2 linked regions of the Anolis sagrei genome follow. The protein of the gene in region 2 binds, or shares a complex with, the protein of the main gene of each other region. Links are inferred from orthologs where the notes say so. Each region holds a gene or a part of one and is shown on either strand. Other genes may lie near its edges.

What was found.
Region 1: the proteins of CRB1 (region 2) and PALS1 are in contact, whole or in part, in a crystal structure (PDB 4UU5), measured with the Homo sapiens proteins. The link is inferred for Anolis sagrei from reciprocal best matches to the Homo sapiens genes CRB1 and PALS1. Residues at the interface, in NP_957705.1 of Homo sapiens: Ala1401, Met1402, Glu1403, Arg1404, Leu1405, Ile1406; in NP_071919.2 of Homo sapiens: Lys261, Pro266, Leu267, Gly268, Ala269, Thr270, Val271, Arg272, Asn273, Ser281, Arg282, Val284, Val314, Asn315, Val317, Phe318, Leu321.

The regions. Positions count from the first base shown.
Region 1 is NC_090021.1:281,640,463-281,656,812, reverse strand, and holds the start of PALS1 (protein PALS1), read right to left. Parts: upstream 7,110-16,350; 5' UTR 6,832-7,109; intron 1-6,831. UniProt on the Homo sapiens protein: Plays a role in tight junction biogenesis and in the establishment of cell polarity in epithelial cells.
Region 2 is NC_090024.1:109,690,102-109,706,796, reverse strand, and holds the start of CRB1 (protein crumbs homolog 1), read right to left. Parts: upstream 6,502-16,695; 5' UTR 6,295-6,501; coding exon 6,225-6,294; intron 1-6,224. UniProt on the Homo sapiens protein: Plays a role in photoreceptor morphogenesis in the retina. May maintain cell polarization and adhesion.

The sequences.
Region 1 (16,350 bases), on a different chromosome or scaffold from region 2:
AACATTACCTAGAAATCAGAATGTTTGTTAATAATAATAATATTGTAGAACCATTTAGTTCAAAGAAATCCTTACATGAACAGTGTTCCTATAGGTATACCTTCTAGGAAATTAGCTCCATTAAACTAACTAAACTAGTTCTCATTGGGAATATAAAGAACATGAGTCCAATTTTTTGTTTTCACTTCTAATTGTTCCACAAGCCAATCAAACCACGTGCGTTATTGCTTTCCAGTCACCTGTTGAAGCAAGCTCATTTTGAGTGTTTGCCAACTGCTGTACAACAAACTTAATCAGTAAGCAGCTTATTCAAAATATTTTAATTAATAAAATGGATAACATTATTTTAGCCTACAGCTCAAACTACAGAAACACAAGATTATGACCTATGGTAACTTACTGACCCGTTTCCAAGAAAAAAATGGACTGAACTTTTATGTATTGTTCTAAGGCTTTGTTGAAGGCCTTTATGTCACTTAACTATACAAGCTGCTAGGAATTATGGGAGTTGAAATCCAAAACACCTGGAGGGCTAAAGTTTGCCTATGTCTGGACTAGAACCCCTAAGTATAAATTTCAAAACTTTAATTAAAAAGTTATCTCTCCTATAATTCTCTTCAGCATTTTCCTTTTTAAAGAAGGCCAAAAGAAAACAAACATCTCTGCAGAAAAGCTAGTGAGAAAGGTGAGCCTAACTGGTTAGCAGACACAGTGATGTACATAGACCTGAAGTTCTCAGATAAACCATAATTTTATATAAGACCAAAGTATGTAGCTGGAGAGACAAGTAAGTGTACTGGTCCATTGTCTATATTCAGGAAATACTTTTATTCTCTCCCCAGCTGATAACTAGACAATACCTTCATTCAGAATTAACAAATTGTCACTAATAGTACAGAATTTTCTTTCAAACTAGGTACCACAAATATAAGAACATTAGAACTTCCCAAAACATTAGAAAACTAGTTCAAAAATTGTATACTACCCAACTCTAAAAAAATTGTTATAATTCAACAGGGCATTAAAAAAGTAACTATCAATATATGGTGTGTCATAAATTGCACTTTCAATATACTAGCACAGAGTTGGTAAAACATTAGAACAAGAAAAAATAAATTTTAATGTCAACTTTTCTCTTTCTTGAGGAAAACTATAATTTTCCAAGTTTTTGTTGAGAGACCGCAGACTGTACTCAAGCAAACACAAAACAAGAAGACTTCAATGTGTAACACCTCTTCCTTTTTTTCTACTGTAGCTGAAATTTCTGTACCTGCTCCACAATACATGTTAGTAATAGAGAAGACAGTTCTGACTTTCGACAATAATAAATAATTTTGGAGGGGGGTGACTACATGTATTAATATTGTGTACAGTTACATGATCAAGACAAGCACAAAAGGTTTTTATTGGGAGCTCTCTAATGTTTTCAATAAAAACATAGCCAAGGGTCTTCCTAAATGATATTACAGCTTTAATACATGGGAAGTAATTCCAAAGAGATAGTTTTGCTAATCTATGCCCCGGGTGCTGCCAGTGAGTGTATGCCTTCAAGTCTCTTGCTCACTTATGGTAACCTCATGCATTTTACATAGGGTTTTCTGAGGCAACCAATACTCAAGGGTGGTTTTGTAAGTTTTTTCTTCTGAAATATAGCCTACAGCACTTGGTATTCGTTGGTGGTATCCCATCCAAGTACAAACAACAGCTGATTCTACTTAGTTTCTATGATCTGATGGGATCTGGTGACTTGCCAACGCAATTCTTCCTACAAAGAATTAAGTATAGCAGTTAAGACTAATAGGTTGACATGGCCAATTCGCCCCAACATGGTCATGTTGGTAGATTTGGAGGGGGGGGGGGCTTGATTAAGTTCAGAACAAACTGAATTACAACATCTAATGGAAGTCACTGCACCTAAAGAACCCTGGAGACGGCAATGGGGGAAAATGGTGGTACTGAAGGTTTGAAGTGCCTTGGGAAGAAACACTGCATTTTGCACACATAACCTAAAAGAACGGGGAAAGTAAAACTTGACAACAAAGCCACCAACTACAGGGTGTCCTCCAAATTTGCACACATCCATATTAGTTTATAATGTTATGGGTAGGTAAAGGTTTCCCCTTGACATTAAATATAGTCATATCCGACTGTGGGGTGTGGTGCTCATCACAATTTCTAAGCTGAATAGCTGGTGGTGTCTGTAGATGGCTCCAAGGCCATGTGGCCGGCATGACTGCATAGAGCACCGTTGCCTTCCTGCAGAAGTGGTACCTATTGATCTACTCACATTTGCATGTTTTTGAACTACTAGGTTGGCAGAAGCTGGGGCTAACAGCGGGAGTTCACCCCGCTCCTTGGAGCAAAGTGCCGACCTTTCTGTCAGCAAGTTCATCAACTCAGTGGTTTAACCGGCTGTACCACCAGGGGCTTCAATTTTGGGGGTACCCCTCCCCCCACAAATATATAAATTATTGACAGGATTCAAGGCTCCAATAGTAGAGAAGTGTCACAAAATTCCAAGAAAAACTTTAGATGAGGTTTTCAGCTCTAGTGCTTTGACAATACAAGCAGTGCATTTTGACAATTTGAACACCTCACCTAAAAATATTTCAAGATGAAATTTGTAACTCTGATGAAATCATAATTATAACATTTATAATGATCAGTCATCAAATAACTGCAATAGCTACACTTAGCTATTAAAAGGTGTATACACTTTTGGGGGCCATCCTGAATTATCTGAGGGCCCTTCCAGGAAGGCCCTATATCCCAGGATCTGATCCCAGGTTTTCTGTTCATCCCAGATTACATGGCAGTGTGAGCCCCCGGTGGCGCAATGGGTTAAACCCTTGTGCTGGCAGGACTGCTGACTGAAAGGTCGGTGGTTCGAATCTGAGGAGCGGGGTGAGCTCCCATCTATCAGCTCCATCTTCTCATGCAGGGACATGAGAGAAGCCTCCCATAGGATGGTAAACATCCTGACGTCCCTGGGCAACGTCCTTGCAAACAGTCAATTTTCTCGCACCAGAAAAGACTTGCAGCTCCTCAAGTCGCTCTTGACACAAAGAAATTCTGGTAGTGCGGACTCATATATAAAAGTTTCCCCTGATAATAAGTTTAATCGTGTCCGACTCTGGGGGGTGGTGCTCATCTCCATTTCTAAGCCAAAGAGCCAGTGTTGTCTGTAGACACCTCCAAGGTCATGTGGCCAGCATGACAGCATGGAGCGCCTTTACCTTTCCGTGGGGGTGGTACCTATTGATCTATTCACATTTGCATGTTTTCAGCTTCTGTTGGCAAAGGCTGGGGCTAACAGTGGGAGATCATTATTCTCCTCAAATTTGAACTGCCAACCTTTCGGTCCGCAACTTCAACAGTTCAGTGGGCCACCAGGGGACTCATATATAATCCAGTTTAAAGCATAAAACCTGGAATCAGATCCTGGGATATAGGGCCTGTCTGGAAGGGCCCTGAGTTGAATATGTCATTGTAGTGATACATATTCAGGGTGTCCCAAAAGGAGATAGGAAAGATTAACAAATGTATATTATATTCCATATTATGTTATGTTTTACAGGTTGCAACGAACTGCAGCTTTGTTCCTGTCAACCACCTCCACCAAGTCTGGCCTCCTTAATGAGAGCATTAAACACCCCCCCCCCCAACTTGGTTGCTTCGCTATATCGGCCATTGCTGCAAGTAATGACAGTGTGAATAAATTGTCTATATTTGCTTGAGATAGTGCTTGCAGTTTTTGCATCTCATAGACTTAGCATGGGGATTTGGTTAACCAGTTAAAATTCATGAGTAAACCAGGGTTTTTTTTAACCTGAAAAATAGGGGGGGGGGGTTTGAACCCCTAACCCCCCCCCCCCCCCGGCTACAGGCCTGACATCACACATTTATTTGTTATTTATTTACTGTATTTGTATACCGCCCTTCTCAGCCCGCAGGCGACTCAAGGAGGTTTACAGAGGCAACAATTCAATGATAAACACACAGCCAAACTTATTGAGGATTAGAACAAGGAAGGGCAGTTCATTTTTCTTGGGCAACAGGTACATTTAGCAACAATTTCCCATTTCCTCTTATGTACACTAGAGAAGGCATGGGTGAAATTGGGCCCTCCGGGTGTTTGGACTCCAAATCCCACTATTCCTAACAGCCTCAGGCCCCTTCCTTTTCCCTTCAGCTGAGGGGGAAAAGGAAGGGGCCTGAGGCTGTTAGGAATGGTGGGAGTTGGAGTCCAAAACACTTGGAGGGCCCAACGTTGCCCATGCCTACACTAGGGACTGTAAGTAGTAATTAGTAGTAGTATTTTTATTGATTAGTCCTTAGGTCATATCACAATATCAAACAAAACAACAAAGCTTGATAAGACTTGATCACACTCCATGTAGTAAGTTAAAATAAGACACTTATAACAATACAGTAAATAAATATAAGAGGTGATAAAACTGAGTATATATATATATCATATTTCCTTATCACCCCTACAATTTACCCCGATTGGCCCTACATATGTGGTTCTCAGATGTATTGTTTTACTTAAATACAGTTTTATATGTTACTAGCCATCCCCTGCCATGCATTGCTGTGGCCCACATGGAGGTTCTGTGTGAGAAGTTTGGCCCAATTCTATCTTTGGTGGGATTCAGAATGCTCTGTGATTGTAGGTGAACTATAAATCCCAGCAACTACAACTCCCAAATGTCAAGATTCTATTTTCCCCAAACTCTACCAGTGTTCACATTTGGGCATATTGAGTATTCGTGTAGAGTTTGGTCCAGATCCATCATTATTTGAGTCCACAGTGATCTCTGGATGTAGGTGAACTACAACTCCAAAACCAAAGGACACTGCCCACCAAACTAGTAGTAGGTATGGTGCCAGAATGCTGAGTCTCAACAAAACCCTTCCAGTGTTTTACATTAGCCATGGAAGTTCTGTGTGCCAAGTTTGGTTCAATTCCAGCATTGGTGGGGTTCAGAATGCTCTTTGATTGTAGGTGAACTATAATTCCCAGTAACTACAACTCCCAAATGACATAATCAATTTTTTGAGTGAAGGACATACATTGGGTTGTTAGGTGTCTTGTGTCCAAATTTGGTGTCAATTCATCCAGTAGGTTTTGAGTTCTGTTAATCCCACAAACGAACATTATTTTTATTTATATAGATTTCCTTATCACCCCTACAATTTACCCCGATCAGCCCTACACATGTGGTTCTCAGACGTATTGTTTTGTTTAAATACAGAGATGTTTTATATGTTACTAGCTGTCCCCTGCCACGCGTTGCTGTGGCCTAGTCTGGTGATCTGGAAAATGAAGTAATTAGAAAGTGTTGGTTTACAATATATGTGATTTCTTTCTGTTTGTGGGTAAACAGTATTTCTTGCTGTTTCTTTGTCACTGTTGATGGGGAGACTGTCTGGTTTGCCTACTCTGGAAAATGGAATATATAATCATCCTTCTTTAGGGGTCCCTTTCAAATCTATAATACTATATCTGTGCGTGTGTGTGGATCATATATATCTATTTATATATCTGGCTGGATGGCTCTTTGTCAGGAGGGCTTTGATTACGTTTTCTTGCATTGGTGAAGGGAGTTGGACTGGATGGCCTTGAGTATTTTCTGTTGGACATGGGGGCTCTGTGTGGGAAGTTTGGCCCAATTCTGTCATTGGTGGGATTCAGATTGCTCTTTGATTGTAGTTCAACTATAAATCCCAGTTAACTACAACTCCCAAATGTGAAGGTCTATTTCCCCCAAACTCCATCTGTGTTCATATTTGGGCGTATTGAGTGCTTGTGCCAAGTTTGGTCCAGATCCATCATTGTTTGAGTCCAAAGTGCTCTCTGGATGTTGGTGAACTACAACTCCCAAACTCAAGGTCAATGCCCACCAAATCCTTCTAGAGTTTTCTGTTGGTCATGGGAGTCCTGTATGCCACGTTTGGTTCAATGCCATCATTGGTTGAGTTCAGAATGCTCTTTGATTGTAGGTGAACTATAAATCCCAGCAACTACACTTCCCAAATGACAAAATCAATTTTTTTTGAGTGAAGGACATACATTGGGTTGTTAGGTGTCTTGTGTCCAAATTTGGTGTCAATTCATCCAGTGGTTTTTGAGTTCTGTTAATCCCACAAACGAACATTATTTTTATTTATATAGATTTCCTTATCACCCCTACAATTTACCCCGATCAGCCCTACATATGTGGTTCTCAAGACGTATTGTTTTGCTTAAATACAGAGCTGTTTTATATGTTATTTTGGGGTTTTGGCCACACATACAATATGTTGTTCTCATGTGAGATTCCCAATACATTGTATTCCCAATACGAGGTAGAAGTCTCTCATCTTCTGATACAATTTACAAGGGGGCTTCTAAGTATCAATTTTAGGCAACCTTTGGGACAACCTGCGTGAAAGGTAGCGGGGCGAGAATCTGTTTGGGACGCCCTGGATTAGGACAAGGAAGAAAGGAAGCGTCTCCGTCAAAACTAGTTGTCACTTCAGGGATAGAAGCGAACAGGGGAAGGAGAAGAAGAGGACAACAACAAACAGGCAGGAAAGGGAAACAGGGGAGAAAAGAAGGAAGGCGGGGTCCGGGGAGAGATTTCGGGCGATAAGCAGACACGGGGACAGAAGTTCACACGGGAAGGGAAGGGAGGAGACGCGGAGGAAGCTGAGGAATGCGCTCCCAGCCCACACAAGGCGGCCCAGGAAGGCCCCCTCAGTCCCACCATGCCCCCGACCACGAGCCGAGAGGGAACGAGAGGGAACGAGAGGGCTTCTTCTTTCTCTCTCCCTCAGGATGCCTACCTGTTGGGCACCCGCCGGACCGAGGAAAGGGCGCCTCGCCTTCGCCTGTGACGACAACGACGACGCTTCAGGCCCTTCACGGAAAGAGACGCGCCGGAGCTCACACGCCTCACCGAGACCGAAGCGGCACAACTTCTTCGTCGCCGCCGCCGTCGTCCTCGTCGACAACGTCGGCCGCCGCCCCGCCTCCTGTGCCAGATCCCAGCAACCAAATCGCCGTCTTGCCTCTTCCCCGCGCATGCGCATATCCGGTTTCCCCCCTTCTCCCTCCTTGGTTCCCACCAATCTTCAAGCTCCGCCTTCTCTCGAGGAGAAAGGAGGCGGGGCTTGCAATCGTCAGCTGGTGACGTCGCGGGCGCTGAGCGCGAGGCTCGGCCTGCGCGCGCTCCTCTCCTCCCCCTCTTCGTTGCCATTGGACAAGGCTTTAATGGGCGTGGCCTCCCCAGCTGAGGTGAATAGTGTTTACCTGTGTTAAGAGATTAAAGAGCTCACCCGGCCAAGGGCACCTGGAGTCTTCGTGCGCAGTCTCACGAAGAGGGAACGGAACAGGTGAATTTCCTTGTTATTAAACTTTAAAATCGTAACAGTAAATAAAGAACGACACTCAAAAACTGAGGAATTCCAGACAAGAAACAATCAGGACCAGCTAATCACTTCTCAACAAATAATAATAATAAATTCTACGTTCAGCAAAGGACAAGAGGGATCCTCTCACCTCTGCAGGAGTCTACCGTATACCATGCAGCTGTGGACAAGTCTACATAGGGACCACCAAACGCAGCATTGCCCAGACACGCATCAAGGAACATGAAAGGCACTGCAGACTCCTTCAACCAGAGAAGTCAGCCATAGCAGAGCACCTGATGAACCAGCCTGGACACAGCATATTATTTGAGAACACAGAAATGCTGGACCACACCAACAACCACCATGTCAGACTACACAGAGAAGCCATTGAAATCCACAAGCATGTGGACAATTTCAACAGAAAGGAAGAGACCATGAAAATGAACAAAATCTGGCTACCAGTATTAAAAAACTCTAAAATTACAACAGCAAAGCAACAGAGGGGAAACAACCAGGCACATCTTAACACCTCTCAACAAAATATTTTCCAGGCGCAGCCAGGCCTTCAAATGCTAATGAAGGTGGTCAGTTGAAACATTCACACCTAGCTCCTGCAGAGAAAAGCTCTTTGCCCCACCCCAGCCATTCCACAGATATATAAACCCATTGTCCTAATTCCAACAGACCTCACTACCTCTGAGGATGCTTGCCATAGATGCAGGCGAAACGTCAGGAGAAATGCCTCTAGAACATGGCCCTATAGCCCGAAAAAAACCACAAGAACCTAGTGATTCCAGCCATGAAAGCCTTCGACAATACAATAATAATAAACTTTATACCCCAACCTGGACACAGCATATTATCTGAGAACACAGAAATGCTGGACCACTCTCACAACCACCATGTCAGACTACACAGAGAAGCCAGTGAAACCCACAAGCATGTGGACAATTTCAACAGAAAGGAGGAAACCATGAAAATGAACAAAATCTGGCTATCAGTATTTATTTATTTATTTATTTAGGTTTCTTCTACCCCGCCCTTCTCACCCCGAAGGGGACTCAGGGCGGCTTACAAAGGCACAGATTCGATGCCAACATCACATAACAGCAGTAAAACAAAATAACATCAATTAATCAGTTGAACAGTTAAACAACAATTCCTGCATTACAACCCTAAAACCAATAAAACAATAGAAACCCAATTACTCCTCATAGACGGCCAGCGTTCGCTATCTCATAGTCCAATTTCCAATTCCACATTGTCAGTCCTGTCATTATTTTAAAAAAACCCTCTAAAATTAAAACAGCAAAACAGCAGAGGGAAAACAATCAGGGACATCTAATCACCTCTCAACAAAAGACTGCTCCAGGCACTTGGGGCTATCAAATGCTAATCAAGGTGGTCAGTTGAAACATTCACACCTAGCTCCAGCAGACAAGAGTCCTTTGTTCCCACCCTTGTCTTTCCACAGATATATAAACCCATTTTCCTAGTTCCAACAGACCTCACTACCTCTGAGGATGCTTGGTAATCAAGGTTGCCAGTTGCAACATTCACACTTACCTCAAACAACAAGTTCCTTCTCCCATCCTGGACATTCCACAGATATATAAACTTCACTTGCCTAGTTTCCAACAGACCTCATAACCTCGGAGGATGCCTGCCATAGATGCAGGCAAAATGTCAGGAGAAAATGCTTCTGGAACATGACCATACAGCCCAGAAAACTCACAAAAACCCAGTGAATTTCCTTTACTCCATGTTTCAATATAGAGAACTAAGTACCAGTGCATCTTTTGAGTTTTCCTCACAATTAAAAAAACCCCATAATGTTTGTGTATATGGGTACCCAGTTAAGTGGATTCTAACTCAGGCGTGGGCCAACAGGTGTTTTGGACTTCTTTGAAATTGAGTTCATTTTGGAAGATCTGATACAGTAGTGCTTTTTGTAATATGGAAATGTAAGGCATAGGGTCACTTGCGAAAACTGGAAAGGGCTGCTGTAATTGTGGAGGAGGGATTTCAGCAGATCTTGCTCCTTGGGCAACGAGCAATTCTTGCTATAAATTCCTCTTTCACAGAACTTAGACTCATAGAATCAAAGAGTTGGAAGAGACCTCATGGGCCATCCAGTCCAACCCCCTGCCAAGAAGCAGGAATATTGCATTCAAATCACCCCTGACAAATGGCCATCCAGCCTCTGCTTAAAAGCTTCCAAAGAAGGAGCCTCCACCACACTCTGGGGCAGAGAGTTCCACTGCTGAACGGCTCTCACAGTCAGGAAGTTCTTCCTAATGTTCAGATCTCCTCTCTTGTAGTTTGAACAGGAACCCTCTCCCATGTTTAGTTTGGCAACTCTGACAGCATAGTTTATTCAACAAAAACTGTCTTTATTAGAAGTGAAACCATTCCTAGTGTTTCTTGTTCTATGCTTTTACAGTAGTGCATTAATACCAAGATAGTTTTAAAAAAGGGTGTGCCATTTTTTAGGAAAATCAACTCTCAACATTTTTTTCTTCCCCTTCTCACTCTTACCCACATACCTTTGCCCCTTATCATTCTATCTTTTCTCCAAATTGGTTGTCAATGTGAGTTAAAGTCATTAAAATTAACCAGTGGGTTAACCCACTGAACTGCTGAACTTACTGTTTGAAAGGTCGCAGGTTCAAATCTGGTGAGTGGCGCGAGCTTCCACTGTTAACCCCAGCTTCTGCCAACCTAGCAGTTTAAAAACATTTAGATGTGAGTAAATCAATAGGTAACAGCACTCTATGCAGTCATGCCGGCCACATGACCTTGGAGATGTCTACGGACAACGCCGGCTCTTAGCTTAGAAATGGAGATGAGCAGCAACCCCCAGAGTCGGACATGACTGGACTTAATATCAGGGGAAAACCTTTACATTTACCTATATTCCTCTCCTCCAGTTCAAGTTTTTTTAATGCATTCATTCACTCATGATAAGTTAACATCACTGTACATGCCTTGTTTATACAAAGTCTTTTTGTGGGAGACTTTTTATTGTGCAGCATTAGCGTTGGGAGGATAGTGAAGGAATGTTGGAAAGAAAGGTGTGAAAAACACTTTTAGTGTTGGATTGCAACAGCATGTCTATTGCAAACAATACACTAAAACATAACCTAGGTAAGAATTGTACTGTATTATGCTCTAGGTCATTCTATTGTAACGGCTTATGTACACAAAGCAAGGTAAACAGTTGCCACCTGAATCACTTACTGAGCGTGTATGAAAAGCAAAACAGAAAGAAAGGGGCAAAGCAGATTAGCTTGCCTCACCAAAATATTAACAGTATGAAAAGTGAATGCTATTGAAATAAAAAAAAACTCTTGAGTTGCGTTTTGGAAGAAGCCTTCAGATGCTCTGTAGAAGATTCAAGATGTTTTTTTTCCTTATGCATGGGTTTCCTGATCTAATTGTTTCATTTCCCATGTGTGTAATGTTATTTTTATATAAAAGCTTTGCTGAAATGTTTCGTTTTGTATTATAGGAACCTATCCCCCTATTCTTTCCATGTTATTTCTACTTCTAGTACCAAAATTATAATAATGTAAAAACTTACCTCCCCGAGGGGACTCAGGGTGAATTCCAAACAAACAAAAAGGCAAACATTCAGTGCCTCAGTACAAAGTTTAAGTGAAAGAAGTAATGCCCAGAAACACATCTACCTTGTTAAGAAAATTGATTTTTTGAATGGATTGTTGTTCATTGTTTTTTAAATTTCCGTATTCATGATGTTTTAGTTGTTTTGTTTTAACATACCTCATAGAACACTTTGTGTCCCACATGGGAGAAAACCAGGATATAAAATAAATAGCAATTTCTATCATTTCTAAATAGCAGCAAGATACATTCAAACATGACAGGTATCTTCTTTATAATGGCCTTATACTCAATCAAGTTGTTAATGACTTTGTACAGCACTTGAATGTTTATTTAGAAGTCGTGATGGAGTTATTGTTTATCATCCAAAACATTTTGATACATCATTCATTCATGGCTGGAATGGAATGTTAACTAAAAGCTTCAAAGTCCATCTTTCTCTCTTCCATGAACATACTAATTCAGTAATGAATAAACTACATGCAAGCTACTAGAGCTTCACATTTCTTAGGTAATATCACTTATGATAATGCATAATTGTCATTTCCTTCTGTAAATCATTTATCAGCAGTACATACAATACTTCAGAGTTGTATTCCATCTGACGCAGCAGGTCTAGTGTTTTAGGAGTATTTCATGAACCATCTTGAATCACAGGTTTTCTTTGAGGGTTGATGAATCCTTTACCAGATTAGGTTGGTTTTTTAGCTGTTTCCATACCTGGACAAAGTAGTAAACCATACCTCAGTAATCTCCCACATTAATAACTGTATTGCATTCCACTTGGAGCTGCCTGTATGATGGTTCAGTAACTGCAACTAGAGTACAATATAGTTGCTTGACTGTGAATTTATTTATTTATTTACGGCATTTATATGCCGCCCTTCTCACCCCAAAGGGGACTCAGAGCGGCTTACAATATATATTTTCATACAATATATTATATTATTAGCATAGTACAATATCAGTATATATTACTATATTGCACTATACCATTATATTGTAATATTATTAGTAATATTACATGTAATGTAAATATATAATTATAATTATAATATTGAATTATTATTACTAGTATTATATTGTACTACATTATAATATTATAAATATTATATGTATATACAATATACTATATTATATTATTAGTAAAGACAAGATGGAAATGTCTTCTGCTCCCCTCTGTCGTCGCTCTGGCCAGAGCAGCCGTTGGTGCCAGAAGGGGGAGGGGCCTCTTAAGTGATGATATAGGCAGAAGACAAGATGGAAGTGTCTTCTGCTCCCTTCTGTCTTCTGAATTGGGACAGTGGGCCCTTCCAGACAGTCCCAAAATGTGTCTCTGTTTTACTTGAGGTGTCCAAAACCTACCTGAGGGGCCTGCTGGTGATGCAGGCCCCTCCCCCCCTCCCGAACTGTCATTTTCTGAGCACCAGGAGAGCTCTCTAGAGAAGTCTTCACTGCCGACAGGCCCCTCAGGTAAGTTTTTTGGGGGAATGGGGGGCTGGGGGATCGCTCTATGTAGCCACCCTACCATGAAAATCCTGAGGTTTGGGGAGGGTGTGTGGCCTCCCCCCGAAGTGAGACCTGTCTGATCTCTGTATTGCTGTAAGGCACAACTTTTTGTTGCACTTGTTGGTATGGTTTAAGACACACAGTTAGATAGAGGCTTCAGATAATTTTGATGTTGCTTTTCACTGTTGCTAAAAAAACCTCAACTGCTATGTGATGGGGGACATACATATTCCAGGACCTTGAAAGATCAGGATGTTGTTTCCAGAAATCTTACCACTTCATCACACAGGCTTCGGGAAGCATTCTAGGAAATTGAGCCTGATGGTTCCTATCATACGACATAAGACTACTTCTGGCAGGGCTCCATAGAGAAAGTGTTCTGGCAGCATGCTATTTCAAATTGCATTTGAGAAGAATTGGGGTGGGGACGGAAGCTAGATGGAGATGCTTCCCCCCATGGGATAAGGTAAGGAGTGATGTGGGACAACTGTTTCCCCCCACTGGCCGCCGGATTCGCCATGCTACATTAAGGCATCCCCCCCCCCCCCCCCGCTATCGCTTGCCATAGGACCCCAGTGTGACAAGGACCCCAATGTGACAAGGTCTTTATTCTCCTAAGACTAAACTTTACATGGCAGCGGTGTCTGGGTTCCACACAGATCTCAGCTGTAAGCATTTCAGGAGCTAGTCTTGCAGGGAAGAAGATTCTTCCCTTGAAGGCATCATTTCCTTCCAAATAGCCTTCACTTTTTAAAAGTTTATTCTGATTGTGACTATGACAACTTAATTTGTTGTATAAGTTCCTGCAGAGATTTAGCTTTAGTCTTTGTATTATTAGGATTGCAAATGCAGTTTGAAATAGCTCTTGACGATATCTTTAAATATCTTTAAGTCCACAAATGGGTAGTGTCTGGAGACAGCAGTTTTATTATCTTTTAACAGAGTACTGCCATTTTATTAAAATAGAGGCAATGCAGTTGTCACCCTTAATAATAGGCAGAAAGAACTAATCAGCCCAGTTTCTTTTCTTCCTCAAGTCCTGTGCCGCAGATTGAGATGAAATTGGTTCCTAATTTGGATAATTGTGGCGTCAAAAAGGAAGGCACAGTGATCAGAATTCTTGGAATTCCAACGGGTTACCTCAGCTACTCATGTGCTCCTCCTCTTGTTGCTGCTCTCAAAGGCTGCTGCATTCACAGGGAATATACCCCCCCCCCCCCCATCAGAGATATGCTGCCAATTTGAGGTCTGGCAGTATGGGTTATCTGCATAACACTGTGGGCCAGGCTTCCCTCATCTGTGCTCTATTAGAATTGGTTCATGGCTCTCTTCTCAGCTGTGACAGAAAGGAAAGTATAGACACATAATACCTCAAGGACCTCATCAGAACAAGGACATACCATTTTAAAAACCTTTTTATATTTAAAGTTATTTATGTTACATCTGCAAATAAAAGGAAATGTAACAAGTTATCTGTTCAGAATTTTTTTCTTGGGGGGGGGGGGGGATAATCTAAAAGCTACAATCTCTTGATCTGCTGTAGAAAACACATTCTCTTTTCCACATCATTGTGCTCTCAACATTTACAACAAAGCATGTTGTGAGTTGCCGTAAGGTATTGGGCTGTGTAGCCATGTTCCAGAAGCATTCTTTCCTGACATTTCACCCGCATCTATGGCAGGCCTCCTCGGAAGTTGTGAGGTCATGCAGACACCTCACAACCTCTGAGGATGCCTGCCATAGATGCAGGCGAAACGTCAGAAGAGAATGCTTCTTGAACATGGCCATACAGCCCAAAAAACTTACAGCAACCCAGTGATTCTGGGCATGAAAGCCTTCGACAATACAAAGTATGAGGTATCTCCCGTGTCACTTGAATTGGGTGATATTTCTGCTGTAACACTTAGTGAGACCATATACCAGACCAACATAAGTAATATTTAAATTAACAGGTACACCACTAAATTAGTGGTATTATTCTTCACTCAGATACAGTTATAATGTAATATACTTACAGCTAAATTGTTTTATAGGAATTATAACTACTTTAATTGCCATAACTAGTTGTTTCCAGTTTTTGGACATTGACTCCATTACTTGCTTTCCTGGGGTCATTTTATACATTTTGAGATTGTGTGTGTGGTTGACCTATTAATATAGTGTTTGAGAGATGGACTAATATCAACTATCACTGCCCAAGCTAGGAAAGATATTGAATTATTTTAAAAGAAACTTCTTTCTTTGACTAGCTGCCTTGAGTCCCCCTGCAAAGTTGAGAAAGGTGGGGTATAAATTAAGTAAATAAACAAATAAATAAATAGGAAAGTCCATTAACAATATTCTAGAATTTCTACAGTCAGGTTTTGCCATCAGACTTAAGCCAAATTTAAGTTTGGCTTCACCACTGCAGCGCTAGCATCCAAAACATGTCTGTCATCTCACCCTCATATTATGAAATTTATGAAAGGTGGAATCCTCTTCAGTTCCCCTATAGTTTCCAAATGTCCCTCCTGAGACCTCCACAAATTATACAATGCTCAACTTAAACCTTCTTTGAACTTTAATCCATTCCACTTTGGATTCTTTTTTATCAAAACTCTGTTTATGGTTGCAATTACATTAACCTGAATGCTTTCCTATCCATTATCCTAGCCACTGAAAATTTGATGCTGACTGTTTGACTATGGGCACTTCCAGACAGTGCCAAATCCGTGTTTTATATCTAATACCAAAACAAAAAAATCCTGTTATCTGACAGCAGGTCCACACAGACATGTCAGTCCCAGGATATGGCCTTCCTCTGTAGTGGATCAATATGGAGGGTGGATGGGAAACATCCAGCAGAAGTTTTTTTTTACAAAGTTCACTCCGTTATGCGCTGGATATATGCACACATGCAAAAATCTCAATATAAACAGAAGCAGATTCGCATGTGCACACATGAAGTCCAGCACATAACGGGAGGGATTTTCTTTAAAAAAATAAAAAAAATATGTCGGATCTCTTTCTTTCCCCAATTCTTAATTCAACCTCTGTTGAAGATTATACTGTTGGACAACTTTCATCAGTTTCCTTTACTCTGCGGTTTCTGAGAAGTTATAAAAGAGGCTACAGACCACACACACTCTCTCTCCTTTTTACTATCTGACCTGTTGATAGCTGTTTTGTTACAAGAGAGATGCCCTGGCTGGCTGACACAGGGAACTGCCTCTAAGATATTTGAAACAGGATCAAAAAGTTTTCGTACCTGTTGTGAGTAAACCAAATATGTTATTTCCATCATGATATGAAACAAGCATACCTTCTAAAGCTCTGCTGTTTTAATGCACTGGCAAATCTCTGTTTTCCTGGCAGATTGGATATTGCTGGTTATTCAGTCCAACAACCAAAACCATTGCCTAGCATAATTATATTGGGTTGTATACTACAAGAGGAAATTCTGCTCTAAATGGTTTTTTGGCTCTTCTCTAAAGGTTATATTATCTAATATATAAAGTGTAAAATTAAGAGTTTCAGAAAGTTCTAATTGCTTTCCACTTGTGCTTCCTTTGAACCACCTGATCAGCTGTTTCAGGCTTTTATTCCTATTCCTATGCTACTATTCAGGCTCTATTCCTATGCTATTATACGTTCTATCCACCTTTTTGACCAGCCTATCATCTAATTTGTTTCTGCACTGGTCCCCTCTCCCCCAAAAATAAGACTAAAGGTATCTCTGTTGTTGCTTATGATGTTTGTTTATTATTGTTTATGATATTTTGTTTTAATATTGAATTGTTCTGTTTTTAATTGTATGTTGTCTTGGGCTTGACCCCATGA
Region 2 (16,695 bases):
TTTTTTATATATAATGTAGGCGCATACCTAAAATTTTGTTTTATGTAGTTTTGAAGATCAAATTAGGTATTTGACATCACCCATTCTCCATTCTCCATACACTGAGTAAACCAATTTCTGGCGTTTGCCATGAGTCTTGCCAGCATAGCAGGCGTTATGTTGGCAATATCTTCCCAAATGTTGGTCTTCAAATCTTGTAGGGTCCTTGGACGGTTCGCATAAACACGAGATTAAAAAAAAAACTCATAGAAAAAAATCACAAGGGGCCAAATCTAGAGAGCGGGCCGGCCACTCCAAATCCGCTCGAAACGTAGGCCTCAATGGCAAAAGCACGCTCCTCACTGTTCCAATGCACGATGGCGACTGAACTGTGTCAGGACAAAACTTTATACTCCCGCCTCTTGAACTATATTTCTTATTGCCCTGACTAACATGGAAAACATTAGAACTTCATTTTAAGCTTTCTATGTAGCAGATTCTGTTGAAGATATAAACCATAATTAATTAAGATTACACAAGTACCTGAAGACTTTTATCGCACAAGTCCTAAAAATGGGTTCTAGTGCTACAAGCCCATCTTGCTAAGAGCTAGAGCATCCCAGGAGAGCCACTCTTCTTATTACATCTCTCTTTGTTGTAAATTCTTTCACCAAACTAAGAGCCTTTTAAGCCTACTGCAGAGGCTCTGGGCGGATGCAGACGGGCCTTTATCCCAGGAGAATCCCCATTTTAAAAAATGCGGATCTTCCTGAGGGCCTGTCCACACCCATACCAGAAAGCGTGCACTTTCTTGGGTAGATGTCCAGATGCTCCTGCAGGACTGGCCTGTCAGAACATCTGGAGGCCCTACCCCTCTCCCCAAAAGCCCCCAGACCCCTTTGAAAAGTAAAATAAAATTTTGGAGATAATGAACATGGATGAATTAATTTATTGGCTAACGCCAAACCAAGGAATTCTAAAGAACCACATAAACTGGGACCCGGTAAAAAGCTACTTTAGACAATGGAAAATAGAGATTATTACCTAAAGAGAGTAAACCACAGATAGAGAAGATACGAGCATGGAAGTATTATCTTCCACAATCCAGAAAAAGACACTAAAGACCCTCAAATACTAGATGGAAGTCACGCTTTTTTTTTGCTTTTGCTTTAAATACACTTTTTATATTTTTCTACCAATTTTTGAACATTTTTTTCTTTTTGTCTTTTTTGTTCTTTTTTTCTTAGTAAAGCAATACTCCTTCTCTTTTCATGGCTTTTCTATCAACAATGAACACGTTCTCCCATTTTCGAGGTTAAAATTTTAGTGCATATATTAATTCTATAAGTGCATATATTAATTCTATAAAACCAATCCATAAACATTTTTTAAAGAAAAGTAAAATAAACTTACCTGGCCTCCAGCACACTTTTGGAGCAGCTCTCCTGGACTGTAGAAATGACGCATCAGGAGAATGGGGGTGGGGGAGTGATTTTCCTCGTCCCACCCCCCACCCCACCCCCACCCCCCCCCCCCACCCCGCTCTCCTGGTGCTAATTTCTACATGTCAGGAGAGCTGCTCCAAGATTATACTGGAGGCTGGGTAAGTTTATTTTACTTTTCAAAAGTCTGTAGGTTTTGGGGGGAGGGTGGGTATTACCACAGTTTTCCAGACTGATTTAGTACGGAAAACTGTGGAAATGGTGTCTGGACTGCAGTCTATCCTGCACCTTCCAAGAAGGTGCGGAATAAATCCTCTATCCAATTAATTAGCTACAAACCAGGGTTTGCTTGGCTTGTAGCGAATTAATTCGGGACTGTTTAGAATGTTGTCTGGACAGCCCCTTCTTTATTGCGGGAATTGCCACAATAAAATTACTGTCTGGACAGGCCCTCTGACATAACTCCTTCCAACTCATATTTTACATCCCTTCATCCATGCACCATATGTAAAAAAATGTTTTGTTTTTTTCATGGAAGTATTGCAGGTAAACAATTTCATGAGACTACAAGCTTCTTCTCTCTGTGTGTTTGAAGTTTCAGGAAATTACTTCTGCATTTTCAAAGTACTCAAACATTGTCCTTATAAACATAAAAATATAAAAATGCATTTTGCAATATGCAATATTTCCCTATTTTGTGTATTCTGCAAGGGGGGCTATGAAATGTCTTGGAATAATATACAGAAAGGTCTTAAGAAATGGAAATTTTTGAACTTATTCTTGTTAAGAAGGATTGCTCTCATAAAAATGAGTGTTTTACCAAAGTTATTATTTTTATTTCAAAATATACCTATAATTAACCAAACCTTTAAAAAAATGGAATAAAAAACTAATGAAATTTGTTTGGAATGGGAAAAGACTGAGAATTAAGTACTTGAACCTGATTGATAAAAAGACGAGAGGTGGACTAGGTTGCTGTGGCCCAGTCTGGTGATCTGGAAAATAAAGTAATGGTTTCTTATCTATGTAATTTCTTTATGCTTGTGGGTAAACAGTATTTCTTGTTGTTTCTTTGTCAATGTTGATGTGGAGATTGTCTGGTTTTCCTGCTCTGGAATATGCAACCTATCATTGTCCTTCTTTAGGGGTCCCTTTCAAATCTATGATACTATATCTGTGTGTGCGTGTGAATCATATTATATATCTATCTATATCTATGGGCGGGTGGCTCTTTGTCAGGAGGGCTTTGATTAGATTTTCTTGCCCTGGTGAAGAGAGTTGGACTGGATGGCCTTAAGTCTGGGGCCTTATGTACCTGAGGGACCGCCTCACCCCCTACCAACCCCCGAGATCCCTCCGTTCTAAGGACCAAGATCTATTGGAAATTCCCAGTGTCAAGACCTTGCGTCTAACAGCAACCAGACGCAGGGCCTTTACAGCAGTGGCACCATTGCTCTGGAATACTCTGCCACCTTAAGTCCGTGCCTTGCGGGACTTATCAGCTTTCTGCAGGGCATGTAAGACATACCTGTTTCGACAGGCCTTTGACTTTTGATATTGCTGTTTTTAAATTGTTTTAAATTGTTTTTAAATTGTGTTAGATTTTAGCCATTCTTGTAAGCTGCTCCGAGCCCCAGGGGAGTGGCAGCATATAAGTTTGAATAATAAATAAATAAATAAATAAAGTATTTTCTGTTGGTCATGGGGGGTTCTGTGTGGGAAATTCTGTGTTTGTGGGGTTCAGAATGCTCTTTGTAGGTGAACTATAAATCCCAGTAACTACAACTCCCAGATGTCAAGGTCTATTTCCCCCAAACTCCATCCGTGTTCATATTTGGGCATATGGAATATTTGTGCCAAGTTTGGTCCAGATCCATCATTGTTTGAGTCCACAGAGCTCTCTGGATGTAAGTGAACTACAACTCCCAAACACAAGGTCAATGTCCACCAAACCGTTCTAGCCTTCTGTTGGTCATGGGAGTCCTGTGTGTCACCTTTGGTCCAATTCCATCATTATTTATTTATTTATTTATTTATTTACAGCTTTTATATTCCGCCCTTCTCACCCCACAGGGGACTCAGGGCGGATTACAGTGTACACATATATGGCAAACATTCAATGCCAATTTTAGCATACAACATATACAGACATAGACAGAGGCTATTTAACTTTTTCTGGCCGCGAAGCTGTCGCTTTAATCGTCATTGGTGGAGTTTAGAATGTTCTTTGATTGTAGGTGAACTATAAATCCCAAGAACTCCAACTCCCAAATGACAAAATCAGAAATTTTTGAGTGAAGGACATACATTGGGTTGTATGCCATCCAAATTTGGTGTCAATTTGCCCACTGGTTTTTGAGTTGTTAATCCCACAAACGTACATTACATTTTTATTTATATACGAGGGGTATTTTTTTAAGTAAGGTCCGTTTGAACATAAGTACACAACAAAAGTTTATTTCAAAAAAGTAAATTTATTTTCAGAAAGTACACACTTCACTCTATTTTTCGACATAGTTGCCAAGTTAGTTCAAACACTTATCATACCTCTGAACCAATTTAAAAATACCCTCTTCCGCCTGCTCCAATAACCAAGAGTTCACTGTAATCAAAGAAGGGCGACCGGAGCTGTCCTCATCATGGATGTTGTCACGGCCATCTTTGAATTGTCGTACCCACTTATGCACTTTGCTTTCACTCATAACAGTATCACCGTACACTTCACAAATCTGTCGATTAATTTCTGCAGCAGGCAGGTTCCTTGCTGATAAAAACAGTATCACTGAGCGAACCTCACATGCGGAGGGTGAGTTGATAGTCTTAAACATTTTTAAAGCTACAGAGCGGAAACTGAGCACAGTTATTCCCGAGGCATGCCGGTACACGACGCACGCGCTCATTGCGGTATGCGCGTGAACTACTAGTGTTTACAACAAAACGGACCTTACTTAAAAAATACCCCTCGTAGATGGATATATAGACTCAATGACAATTTGAAGGTAGTGCTTATTGTGCAACCATTTATACATAACTCCTAAAGTTTTCCTAGTTTGCATCCTCACCTCATGCTACAACTTGTAGCACCTGCTTTATCCCAGCTTATAAACCTATGTGTGTAGGAACAATTTGACAATACAACAGAAGGTGACCCAGATTACACGACACCGGTCGCTAATGCCAAGTCTCCTTGTTTAATGGCAGCTGTTGGCAGCTTGTCTGATTAAAATTCAGATTCAGCCGGCACAAAGCGCACAACCTTTTCAGACACATACGCACATGGTTTCAAAGTCTGTTCTATAGAGCCTTCCCCTTCTAAACAGACACATCGGCTTTGCCAGCAGAACTTCATTTAAATTAACAACAACATACAGCAACATCTGAAAGCTTTCCCCGCTCCTATTTGCTCTGTAAAGGGGAAGTTTGTGGAAAAGGTTTTTTCTTTTATTCTTTTTAAAATCAATAGCAAACACTTTGTATTGTCAAAGGCTTTCATGGCTGGAGTCACTAGGTTTTTGTGGGTTTTTTCGGGCTATAGGGCCATGTTCTAGAGGCATTTCTCCTGACGTTTCACCTGCATCTATGGCAAGCATGCTCAGAGGTAGTGAGGTCTGTTGGAATTAGGACAATGGGTTTATATATCTGTGGAATGGCTGGGGTGGGGCAAAGAGCTCTTCTCTGCTGGAGCTAGGTATGAATGTTTCAACTGACCACATTCATTAGCATTTGAAGGCCTGGCTGAGCCTGGGAAAATCTTTTGTTGAGAGGTGTTAAGCTGTGCCTGGTTGTTTCCTCTCTGCTGTTTTGCTATTGTAATTTTAGAGGGGTTTTTTAAAGAGTTTTTTTAGAGTTTTAATACCAGTATTAAAAAACTCTAAAATTACTACAGCAAAACAGCAGAGAGAAAACAACCAGGCACAGCTTAACACCTCTCAACAAAAGATTTTCCCAGTCTCAGCCAGGCCTTCAAATGCTAATGAAGGTGGTCAGTTGAAACATTCACACCTAGCTCCAGCAGGGAAGAGCTCTTTGCCCCACCCCAGCCATTCCACAGATATATAAACCCATTGTCCTAATTCCAACAGACCTCACTACCTCTGAGCATGCTTGCCATAGATGCAGGCAAAACGTCAGGAGAAATGCTTCTAGAACATGGCCCTATAGCCCGAAAAAACCCACAAGAACCTAGTGATTCCAGCCATGAAAGCCTTCGACAATACTTTGTTGAAAGGGTTTTTCTTTTGTTCTTTTTAAAATCAATAGCAAACACTTTCCCCCTCATAATAGAAGGTCAAATTTTACAAAGTAAAATCAAAGTACAATGTGACATTAATTGACCAAATTCTTGGGGTCCCTCCTCAAAGAGGCTTTTACGAGATGGTTGGAGAGCTCCCTCGCTTTGAAGGAGAAAAAAAGGAATAAGGAAATTGAAAGCTGACAAAATATTTGCAACAAACCCATTAATATGCTGTTATCAAATGTAGAAAGTTAAACCACCTGACTATTTAAGTTTGGTAAGATTTGGATAATGTGTTTTTTAAAGGACAACAAACCTTGATGCATTCGGCAGTATTAGTTCTTCTGGATCCTCCAAATAACCATTCATTCATTTCAAAAGTTACTCCTCTCTTTCTGACTCCCTTGAACTCTTATGACCTCAAAGCCATCTGTTCACTCATTTTTGATAACTCCGGAACTAATTCTTATGTCTTTTCAAGTTTTACAAGCTTGCTTTCAGAAATAGACCTGTTTACGTATGATGCAGGAGAAGCAACATGACAGGTGAAAGGGAATAGGAATGCTTACTTTTTAAATGGATGAGCAGCAAGAAACCGAGGTAGAAGATGAGGAGAGAGTTCGTCCTGGATGGAGCCATATTATTTTTCCTGATGAACCATCTTCCTTGAAAGTTCCCAGTCCCACAGGGGATGCTGTGTGTCTATTTATTGCATCCTATTCCTGCCCTGAACCTAGGACAGCGGTCAAGGCACAGGGTCCCCGGCATGCCATCTCTGCCTCTGTCCCTCGCCAGCATGCACTGCAAACCTGCAGAGTTCAATTTAAAAGGCATTTGCGCTTGGTAAGATTTTACTCCAGCAGCTTTGGGTGATGCCTCAAACCTGGTGCAGATTTCACTGCGGAGTGGACTGGAGTCTCTCTTGCCTGCCTTAGTATTATGAAGAGTCGTGCCACCGGGGAGAGATGATGCCTTCAAACTGCATCCCACAGCACTCTTTTTGAGGTTTTCCTTGAAGTTTTCCTATTTCAATGCCCAATCTATTCCCCAAAGCCCTACATGATAACACATTGTACAATATACCTTTACAGATTGGTTCGGGCAAGAGAAATAAGTGCTATTTTAAATTTTATTTATTTATTTAGCAATTTTGTATACCGGTCTTCTCCCCTCTATCAGGGGACTCGGGCAGGTTTCCAACAATAAAATCACAAAACAATCATTAAAAACATCATATAACATATTCAATTAAAACGTTATAACAGCAAAATGCAATCACAAAATAACAATGGTCAGTCATCATAGTGAATTTGTTGTCCATCATTCATCATCATCTATCCGATCACAGAAATATTGATTCACTCGTTGAAAGCCAAACCCCATAGCCAGGTTTTCACCCGTTTTCTGAACGACAGAATGGAGGGGGCAGTTCTGATCTCCAGTGGGAGAGAGTTCCAGAGTTGAGGGGCCACCACCAAGAATACAGAGGTACTCCTGGTTAGTCGTAAGGCCGAACAGGGTATAGGGTTACAGCCTGTGTTGGATGGGGTCGCACTCCCCCTGAAGACACAGGTTCGCAGTTTGGGTGTGATCCTAGACTCATCGCTGAGCCTGGAACCTCAGGTTTCGGCGGTGACCAGGGGAGCATTTGCACAGTTAAAACTTGTGCGCCAACTGCGCCCGTACCTTGGGAAGTCTGACTTGGCCACGGTAGTCCACGCTCTGGTTACATCCCGTCTAGACTACTGCAACGCTCTCTACGTGGGGTTGCCTTTGAAGACGGCTCGGAAGCTCCAGCTAGTCCAACACTCGGCAGCCATGATACTAACAGGAGCGGAGCGCAGGGAGCATACAACTCCTCTGCTGCACCAGCTCCACTGGCTGCCGATTTGCTACCAGGCTCAATTCAAAGTGCTGGTGTTGGCCTATAAAGCCCTAAACGGTTCTGGCCCAAGTTACCTATCCAAACGTATCTCTGCCTATCAGCCCGCCAGGGCCCTAAGATCTTCTGGGGAGGCCCTGCTCTCTATCCCGCCTGCTTCACAGGTGTGGCTGGCGGGGACGAGAGACAGGGCCTTTTCTGTGGTGACCCCCTGGCTGTGGAACGCCCTTCCTATGGAGGTAAGATCAGCCCCCTCGCTAATGGTGTTCCGAAGAAGATTAAAAACTTGGATGTTTGAACGGGCATTCGGTTAAACAGTGCAATGAATGTGATGATTACAGGAATGGAAATTTGGACGACGGATTGGATCACGACTCTAGTTATGAGATCCATTGTGTTGTCTATTGTTGTGTCAATATTGTATATTATGCTTTTATGGTTTTAAATTGTATATCGTTGATTGATTCTTATCCTTGTTGTAAACCGCGTTGAGTCGCCTGTTGGGCTGAGAAACTGCGGTATACAAGTAAAGTAAATAAATAATAAATAAATAAATAAATAAGGTCCTGTCCCTCGTCCCCACCAGACATGCCTGAGAGGCCGGTGGGACCAGGAGCAGGGCCCCTCCAGAAGATCTTAACAACCTAGATGGTTCATAGGGGAGAATACGTTCGGACAGGCAAACTGGGTCGGAGTCGTTTAGGTTAACACCAGCACTTTGAATTGTGCTCAGAAGCTAATTGGCAGCCAGTGGAGCTGGCGCAACAGAGGAGTAGTATGCTCCCTGTACCCTGCTCGTGTTAGCATTCTGGCTGCCGCACGTTGGTGTAATTGGAGCTTCCGGGCAGTCTTCATAGGCAACCCACGTAGAGAGCGTTGCAGTAATCTAAACGGGATGTAACCAAAGCGTGGACCACCGTGGCCAAGTCAGACTTCCCAAGGTACGGGCTCAGCTGGCGCACAAGTTTTAATTGTGCAAAAGGTCCCCTGACCACCGCTGAAACCTGGGGCTCCAGGCTCAGCGATGAGTCCAGGATCACTCCCAACCTGCGAACCCGATGATGACGCCACAATTAGATCTGCTGCTACATAAATAAAAATGTAATGTTTGTGGGATTACCATAACTCAAAAACCACTGGGCGAGTTGACACAAAACTTGGACACAATAAAAACACTCATAAAAACACTGAAAAACACAGCAGAAAATACTTAAAAAGCCAAAAAATATATACATTGCAACGCATGCACAAAACCACACATATACACATATACACAAATATATACATATACACAGACACTAAACACATATACACAGACTGGGCCACAGCAACGTGTGGCAGGGGATGGGCTAGTCTATATAAATAAAAATGTAATGTTCGTTTGTGGGATTAACAGAACTCAAAAACCATTGGACGAATTGACACCAAATTTGGACACAAGACACCTAAAAACCCAATGTATGTCCTTCACTCAAAAAAATTGCTTTTGTCATTTGGGAGTAGTAGTTGCTAGGATTTATAGTTCACCTACAAATAAAGGGCATTCTGAACCCCATCAACGATGGAATTAAACCAAACTTGGCACACAGTTCTCCCATGACCAACAGAAAACACTGGAAGGGTTTGGTGGGCAGTGTCCTTTGGTTTTGGAGTTGTAGTTCGCCTCCATCCAGAGATCACTGTGGACTCAAACAATGATGGATCTGGACCAAACTCCACACGAATACTCAATATGCCCAAATGTGAGCACTGGTAGAGTTTGGGAAAAATAGAATCTTGACATTTGGGAGTTGTAGTTGCTGGGATTTATAGTTCGCCTACAATCAAAGAGCATTCTGAACCCCAGCAACAATAGAGTTGGGCTAAATTTCCCACACTGAACCCCCATGACCATCAGAAAATACTTAAAGCCATCCAATCCAACTCCCTTCATCAAGGCAAGAAAACATAATCAAAGTCATCTTTACAAAGAGCCATCCATCCATAGATAGATATAGATAGATAGATAGATAGATAGATATGATTCACACATGCAGAGATATAGTATCATAGATTCGAAAGGGATTTGAAAGGGATCCTTAAAGAAGGACAATGATATCTTGCATGTTCCAGGGTGGGCAAACCAGACACTCTCCACATCAATACTGACAAAGAAACAGCAAGAAATATTGTTTACCGACAAGAAATTACATAAAGAAATTACATATATTAGAAACCAACACTTTCTCAATACTTTATTTTCCAGATCAACAGACTGGGCCACTGGGACAGCTAGTAGTAGTAGTAGTAGTAGTAGTAATAATAATAATAATAATAATAATAATATTTTTAATTAATTTTTATTGAGGGTTTTCCAAGATGGGGATACATCCAAGTTTCAAGAATCAGTAACTTAGACTTAACCATTACATTAAAAAGAAAAACACATAATAGGGGGCTGGGGGGGGGGGGGAGAAGTTCAGGAGGGGTGGGGGGATGTGAACGGATAAAGGTGGATGAGGGAGATGTGGGGGCTAGGGAATGTGTCACAGGAGAGTTCTTGGTCTTATTCATCCATTTTGCCCCAAGAAACTTTAATGTTATATTTTCCTAGTCGTAATTCTTACATGTCTAAGTCTGGTTAATCTTGAAATATTCTTTGATTGGAGACCAATCTGTCCTGACAGTCCCTGTCTTCTGTTTATTTTTCATGTGCCATGTTAGGGAGTCCATATTTATTATATCTAGAAGTTTTATTGTCCATCCCTCGACTGTTGGTAGTTCTTTATTCTTCTATTTTCTTGCTATTACAATTCTTGCAGCTGTCGCCATGTGAAAAAGAAGCTTGTCTTTATTTTTCCCAAGTTCAAAATCTAATATACCTAACAGGTAATATTCAGCTTTCATTTCTATTTTTATATCCAGTATCTTGTTTATTATCTCGTAGATCTCTTTCCAGAATTTTTTTGTTTTTTCACATGTCCACCATGAGTGAAAGAAGATGCCTTTTTTACTTTGGCATTTCCAACATGTCTCAGGGACATTCCTGTAAGATTTCACCAATGTACTCAGTGTGATGTACCACCGGTACATCATTTTTAACCAGTCATAAGAATTTATCCACTTTAATTTAACTTTCCATATCTTTTCCCACTCTGTGGTTCCAATAATATGACCAAGGTTTGCTGTCCATTTTGAAATGAATTTTTTTTCTGTTTTTCTCTGTCATCCAACTTAGTATGATTTTGTAGAGTTTAGTAATCTCTTTTTTTCTCCAATCATAATCTTGTCCCACTGATTATCTTCTTTGTCAAAACCTAGTTTTTTTTATCTTTATTGTATGCTTCTGTAAGTTGCCTATATTGGAACCATGATATCTCTCCATAAGAACTTCTTATCTCTTCTATTGTCTTCATAGAGAAATCATAATTGTTCTTCTTTAAGATGTCTTTATATCTTGGCCATTTCTCCCAACTCAGTTCTCTTCTCTGTGACGCTTCAAGGGGGGAGATCCAAAGAGGTGTTTTTGATAAAATTTGGATTTATACTTTCCCATATCAGTGACGATCTAATAAATTGGTTGCCAAAGTTTTTTTCGATCTTTCTTTTGGTGTACCACATGTACGCATGCCACCCACTTCTAAGATCACGTCCTTCTAGAGCTAGGTCTTTTGTTTTGTTGATATTAGCCCATTCTTTGCTCCAGATTAAGTCACAGGCATCGTGGTATGCTTGAAGATCTGGTAAGCCTAGGCCACCCTTTTCCTTACTTTCAATTAGATTTATGAATTTTATCCTAGGTTTCTTCCCAGCCCAGATGAATTCTGTTATTTCTCTGTTCCAGTTCCTAATTGTCTGTTTGTTTCTTATAATTGGTAACACCTGGAATAGGAAAAGAAGTTTGGGCAAGACCATCATTTTTATGGCTGAGATTCTTCCTAATAGTGACAGGTTTAGAGATTTCCAGTTGGCCATCTCTTTGCCAATAATAATAATAATAATAATAATAATACTAACAACAACAACAACAAAGACACAACTCTGTGGCCCAGATGATTCACTAGAACTTATGTCACAAGTACCACCTGCCAGCAGTAAAGAATTGGTGGGATCATAAACTCGCAACGGTCGTGGAAAATGAACATGCAAAAATACTGTGGGATTTTCGAATCCAGACTGACAACCTTTTGGAACACAATACACCAGACATCACAATTGTTGAAAAGAAAAAAAGTCTGGATTATTGATGTCGCCATACTAGGTGACAGTCGCATTGAGGAAAAACAACAAGAAAAACTCAGCCGCTATCAAGACCTCAAAATCGAACTGCAAAGGCTCTGGCATAAACCAGTACAGGTGGTTCATTGGCGCACTGGGTGCCGTTCCAAAAGATCTCAGCCAGAACTTGGAAACAATAAACATCGACAAAATCATGATCTGTCAATTGCAAAAGGGCACCTTACTTGGATCAGCGTGCATCATTCGAAAATACATCACACAGTCCTAGACGCTCGGGAAGTGTTCGACTTCTGATTTTGTGATACAAAATCCAGCATATAGATCTCGTTTGCTGTGACATACTGTGCTTTTGTGTCAATAATAATAATAATAATAATAATAATCTTTATTTATACCCCACCACCATCTCCCCAAAGGGGACTCAGAGTAGCTTACATGAGGCCAAGCCCAATAGTATATTACAGTAAAATAAAACCAAAGCAACAATTCTCACAATACAATTAAATCAATAAAAACATAAGAATACAATTTTAAAAAACAGCACAAACCAAATACAATGTAAAATCAATCCCAAGGGCAGACCACATGTACAAGTTAAAATGATAAAAACTCAGGATGAGATAGGGGTGAAAGAGAAGTAGGAGATGGGGTAGTGGAGACAGGCCTTCAAACAGGGAGGGGAAGTGCAATATAAAGTGCAATATGAGAACAAACCTTATGGGAGAAACAACAAAAGGATATTTCATATCACTCTCCAAAGGCGCAACAGAAAAGCCTAGTTTTGAGATCTTTCTTGAAGGATGCTAAGGTGCGGGTTTGCCTAATCTCACCAGGCAGTGAATTCCAGAGTCGGGGGGCCACAGCGGAGAAGGCTCTCTCCCTCGTTCCCATAAGTTGGGCCTGTGATAAAGGAAGGGGCGAAAGGAGGGCATCCCCCGAAGATCGAAGGGATCGGGCGGACTTGTGGAAGAAGATACGGTCACAAAGGTAGGAGGGTCCCAAACCGTTTAGGGCTTTATAGGTGATAAAATGGAAATTATGTTAGTTATGCTCATGTATTCCCATGTCATGTTGTTCTCCAGGATACTTTATCCCATTTCTCCAATTCCTTGCAGTACCTACTTTTGGGGCTTAACCTATCCATCCTCAAATAATTGAACATTCCACAACATGTGTGTGTGTGTGTTGTGATATATGAAAAAAACATACAAGCGTTAAAATTCAACAATCCAAATACAAGTGTTATTGCCCCAGGCCCACCACCTCTCCATTCCCACCCGTGACTTCCAACACCACACCATATGGAACTAGTATCTAACAAAAATCTGCCCTTATCATTACACTAATAAATCCCCCATTCAGCTATTTCAAAATCTGTTTTTGTCTTCCTTTTTAAATATATAAAGACTAGTCTCCATTTTCTAGTGAAATCTTCTTCATTTCTTCCCCTTATGCCATTGGAGATCTTGGCCATTTGAATGTAGGGCCCATTCAGACAGCCTCTTTATTGCGGAAACTCCAGTTGATGTACTAGCCAACCCGTAATTAATTTCCCACAAACCAGGACAACCCTGGTTTGTGGTAAATTAATTAGATAGTGGATTTATTCTGCGCCTTCTTAGAAGGCGCGTGATAAACCCACTACTTCCGGTGTCCAGACTGTAGTCCAGACACCATTCCCACAGTTTTCTGGACTAAATCAGATTTGTTTTATGCACTCAGTGGTTATCAAAGTTTTTAATCACATTGCATTTGTGTATTTTAGGTACCCTGTTGATGAACGAGGTACTGTTAAATGTGTATGATGAGGCATTCATTTGCTTTCACAATAAATTATTTAAATGCTAAAGAGACTTTACAGACACCCTGTTTCAGTAGCCATTATCTGAAATGTTTGGGATCAAATTATTTTGGTTTTTGATTCCCCACCCCCACCCCCGGATTTTGAATACCTGTATTTGCATATATGCACATAATCAGATATCTTGGAGACGGGACCCAAATCTAAAGGCAAAATGCATGTATGTTTCATATGCAACTTAAACACATAGCCTGAAGTTAATTTTATACACAATATTTTGAATACATTTTTGTATATAACTATGCTTATGTACATTAAGTGACCAGAAAACAAAGATTTCACGACTATTTTAGCTTTTGGAGTATTTCACATTTTGGAAATCCAGTTAAGAGATGCTAAGCCAGTATTTAATTTTCTTCTATGATGAGACTTTTAGCTGTGAGAAAAGAAACAATCAATTTTTTAAAAGGCGTTCATGGGGTATCCAGGAAATGAAAATCCAGCTACACAATATCCGGAAAAGGTAAACTGGAAGAAAGCATTATTGAAGATAAAGTTATTATTCATACAGAAAACCACCTTTCTATGGAAGACAGAACATGGGTTCTAAAAAGATAAATCCTGCATTAGTAACATTTTAAAATTCTTTGAAAGTAACAACATATATATACTGAGGTCGAATTTAGACTATGGACCATGGATAAAGGAGAGTCTTGCCTGGCAAGCATTTATGCTAACACCCAAAGTTTCAGATTAACCATATTAATATACCACCTGTTGGAAGGCTGTTGAACAGAGGACATGCTACTACTGAAAATGCCCAAATCCCAGAAGCTCATTGCTTTCCCAGCAATGAGCTGAGACACAGACATACAATGAAAATAGTTCTGAAAGTACCCACATTCCAAATTATTTAGAACTGTAAAAGGACCCTCAGTATCCTCAGGGTTTTGGTTCCAGGTTCCCAATGGATACTAAAATCTATAGATGCTGAACTCCCATTATATACAATGGCATTGTAAAATAGTGTTCTATATTTAAAATGGGAAACAATTGAAATGAATGTCAAAGGGAGCCTGAGGTTTGTTGAAATAGCAGGAGGCTACAATAAGGTATGCCTGCCTACACATCAATGGAGTGCTTGACACATGGCAAAATCAAGTTTTGATATTTGGATTTCCCCCCGCACATTTTCAAGCCATGGTTGGTCAAATCTATGGACACAGAATCCATGGACACAGAACCTGTCTGTAAATATCCAAAGTAGTATCTCAAATTAAGCTAGAAATACAATGGCAACCATTGTAGCTCAAATCAAACAGGATGATAGCAGCTCATGCCAGACAACTACATTAACTTAAGTTCCCAGGTGAACTCAATGGTTAGGCCAGGATCATACATACTGGAGTTGACTGTGGCTATGATGGCTGTTGGGGCTGACATTTGGAGCTCAGTGTCAGAAGGGTTACAATATTCCTCCTCTACTACCATCACAACCCCCCACCCACCTACCCACTGGAGACTAGTTTGAAGAATACTAGGACATACATTCAAGATAACTGGCAAATAGAGGGAGAAAACGTGGAGGCCGTGACAGACTTTGTATTTCTAGGTGAAATGATTACTTCAGATGCAGACAGCAGCCAGGAAATCAGAAGACTTCTTGGTAGGAGAGCAATGGCCAATCTTGATAAAATAGTGAAGAGTAGAGGCATCGCACTGGCAACCAAGATCCAATAGTTAAAGCAATAGTATTCCCGTAGTCCCCTACGGATGTGAGAGCTGGACCATAGGGAAGGCTGAGCGAAGGAAGAGAGATGCTTTGGAACTGTGGTGCTGGAGGAAAGTTCTGAGAATATCTTGGACCACCAGAAGATCCAACCAGTCCATACTTCAGGAAATAATGCCCGACTGCTTATTGGAGGGAAGGATAGTAGAGGCAAAGATGAAGTACTTTGGCCACATCATGAGAAGACAGGAAAGCTTAGAGAAGACAATGATGCTGGGGGAAATGGAAGGAAAAAGGAAGAGGGGCCGACCAAGGGCAAGATGGATGGATGGCATCCTTGAAGTGACTGGACTGACCTTGAAGGAGCTGGGGGTGGTTACGGCCAACAGGGAACTCTGGCGTGGGCTGGTCCATGAGGTCACGAAGAGTCGGAGACGACTGAACGAATGAACAACAACAACAACAATAAGGTATGCCTGTCTACACATCAATGGCGTGCTTAATGCATAGCAAAATAAAGTTTTGATATTTGGATTTCCCCCGCACATTTTCAAACCATGGTTCGTCAAATCTATGGACACAGAATCCATGGACACAGAACCTGTCTGTAAATATCCAAAGTAGTATCTCAAATTATACTTTTATCAGTTTTATTTTATTTTATCAAATGTTTTTTATGCTAAATGTTTTAATTGTTCTTTGTTATGGTAGGCATCAAATCGTGCCATTTGTTAGCCGCCCTGAGTCACCCTCAGGCTGAGAAAGGTTGTATATAAATATGGTTAATAAATAATAAATAATAAAAAAGCTAGAAATACAATAGTAACCATTGTAGCTCAAATCAAACAGGATGATAGCAGCTCATGTCAGACAACTACATTAACTTAAGTTCCCAGATGCACTGAATGTTTAGGTCAGGATCATACATACTGGAGTTGACTATGGCTATGATGGCTATTGGTGCTGACATTTGGAGCTCAGTGACAGAAGAGCTACAATATTCCTCATCTACTACCATCACAACCTAGTCTCCAGTGGGTAGGGGACCCACCTACCCACTGGAGACTAGTTTGGAGAACACTGGGACATAAATTACTTGAAAATGTAATAGAGCTAATACAATATATCATTTTGACTGTTTTGGTGATTTGTCTCTAAAAAGACTGGCAGGGGGAAAACATAGGTTATTTTAATAATACCATTTGCATAGAGAGAATACGGAATCTAAATTTAATGCAATTTCGTCTAGAGATGGTTTTGAAATCATGCAATTCTCTCACCGTTTCCACTTGTGATGTGTTTGAACTACTCAGGCCACTGCCCTCCCACTGTGAGATGCAGCCTTTCATTGCCCTCTGGACCCTTGTAACTCTGATTACTCCCCTCATCATGGCCATTCTGTATCTATTT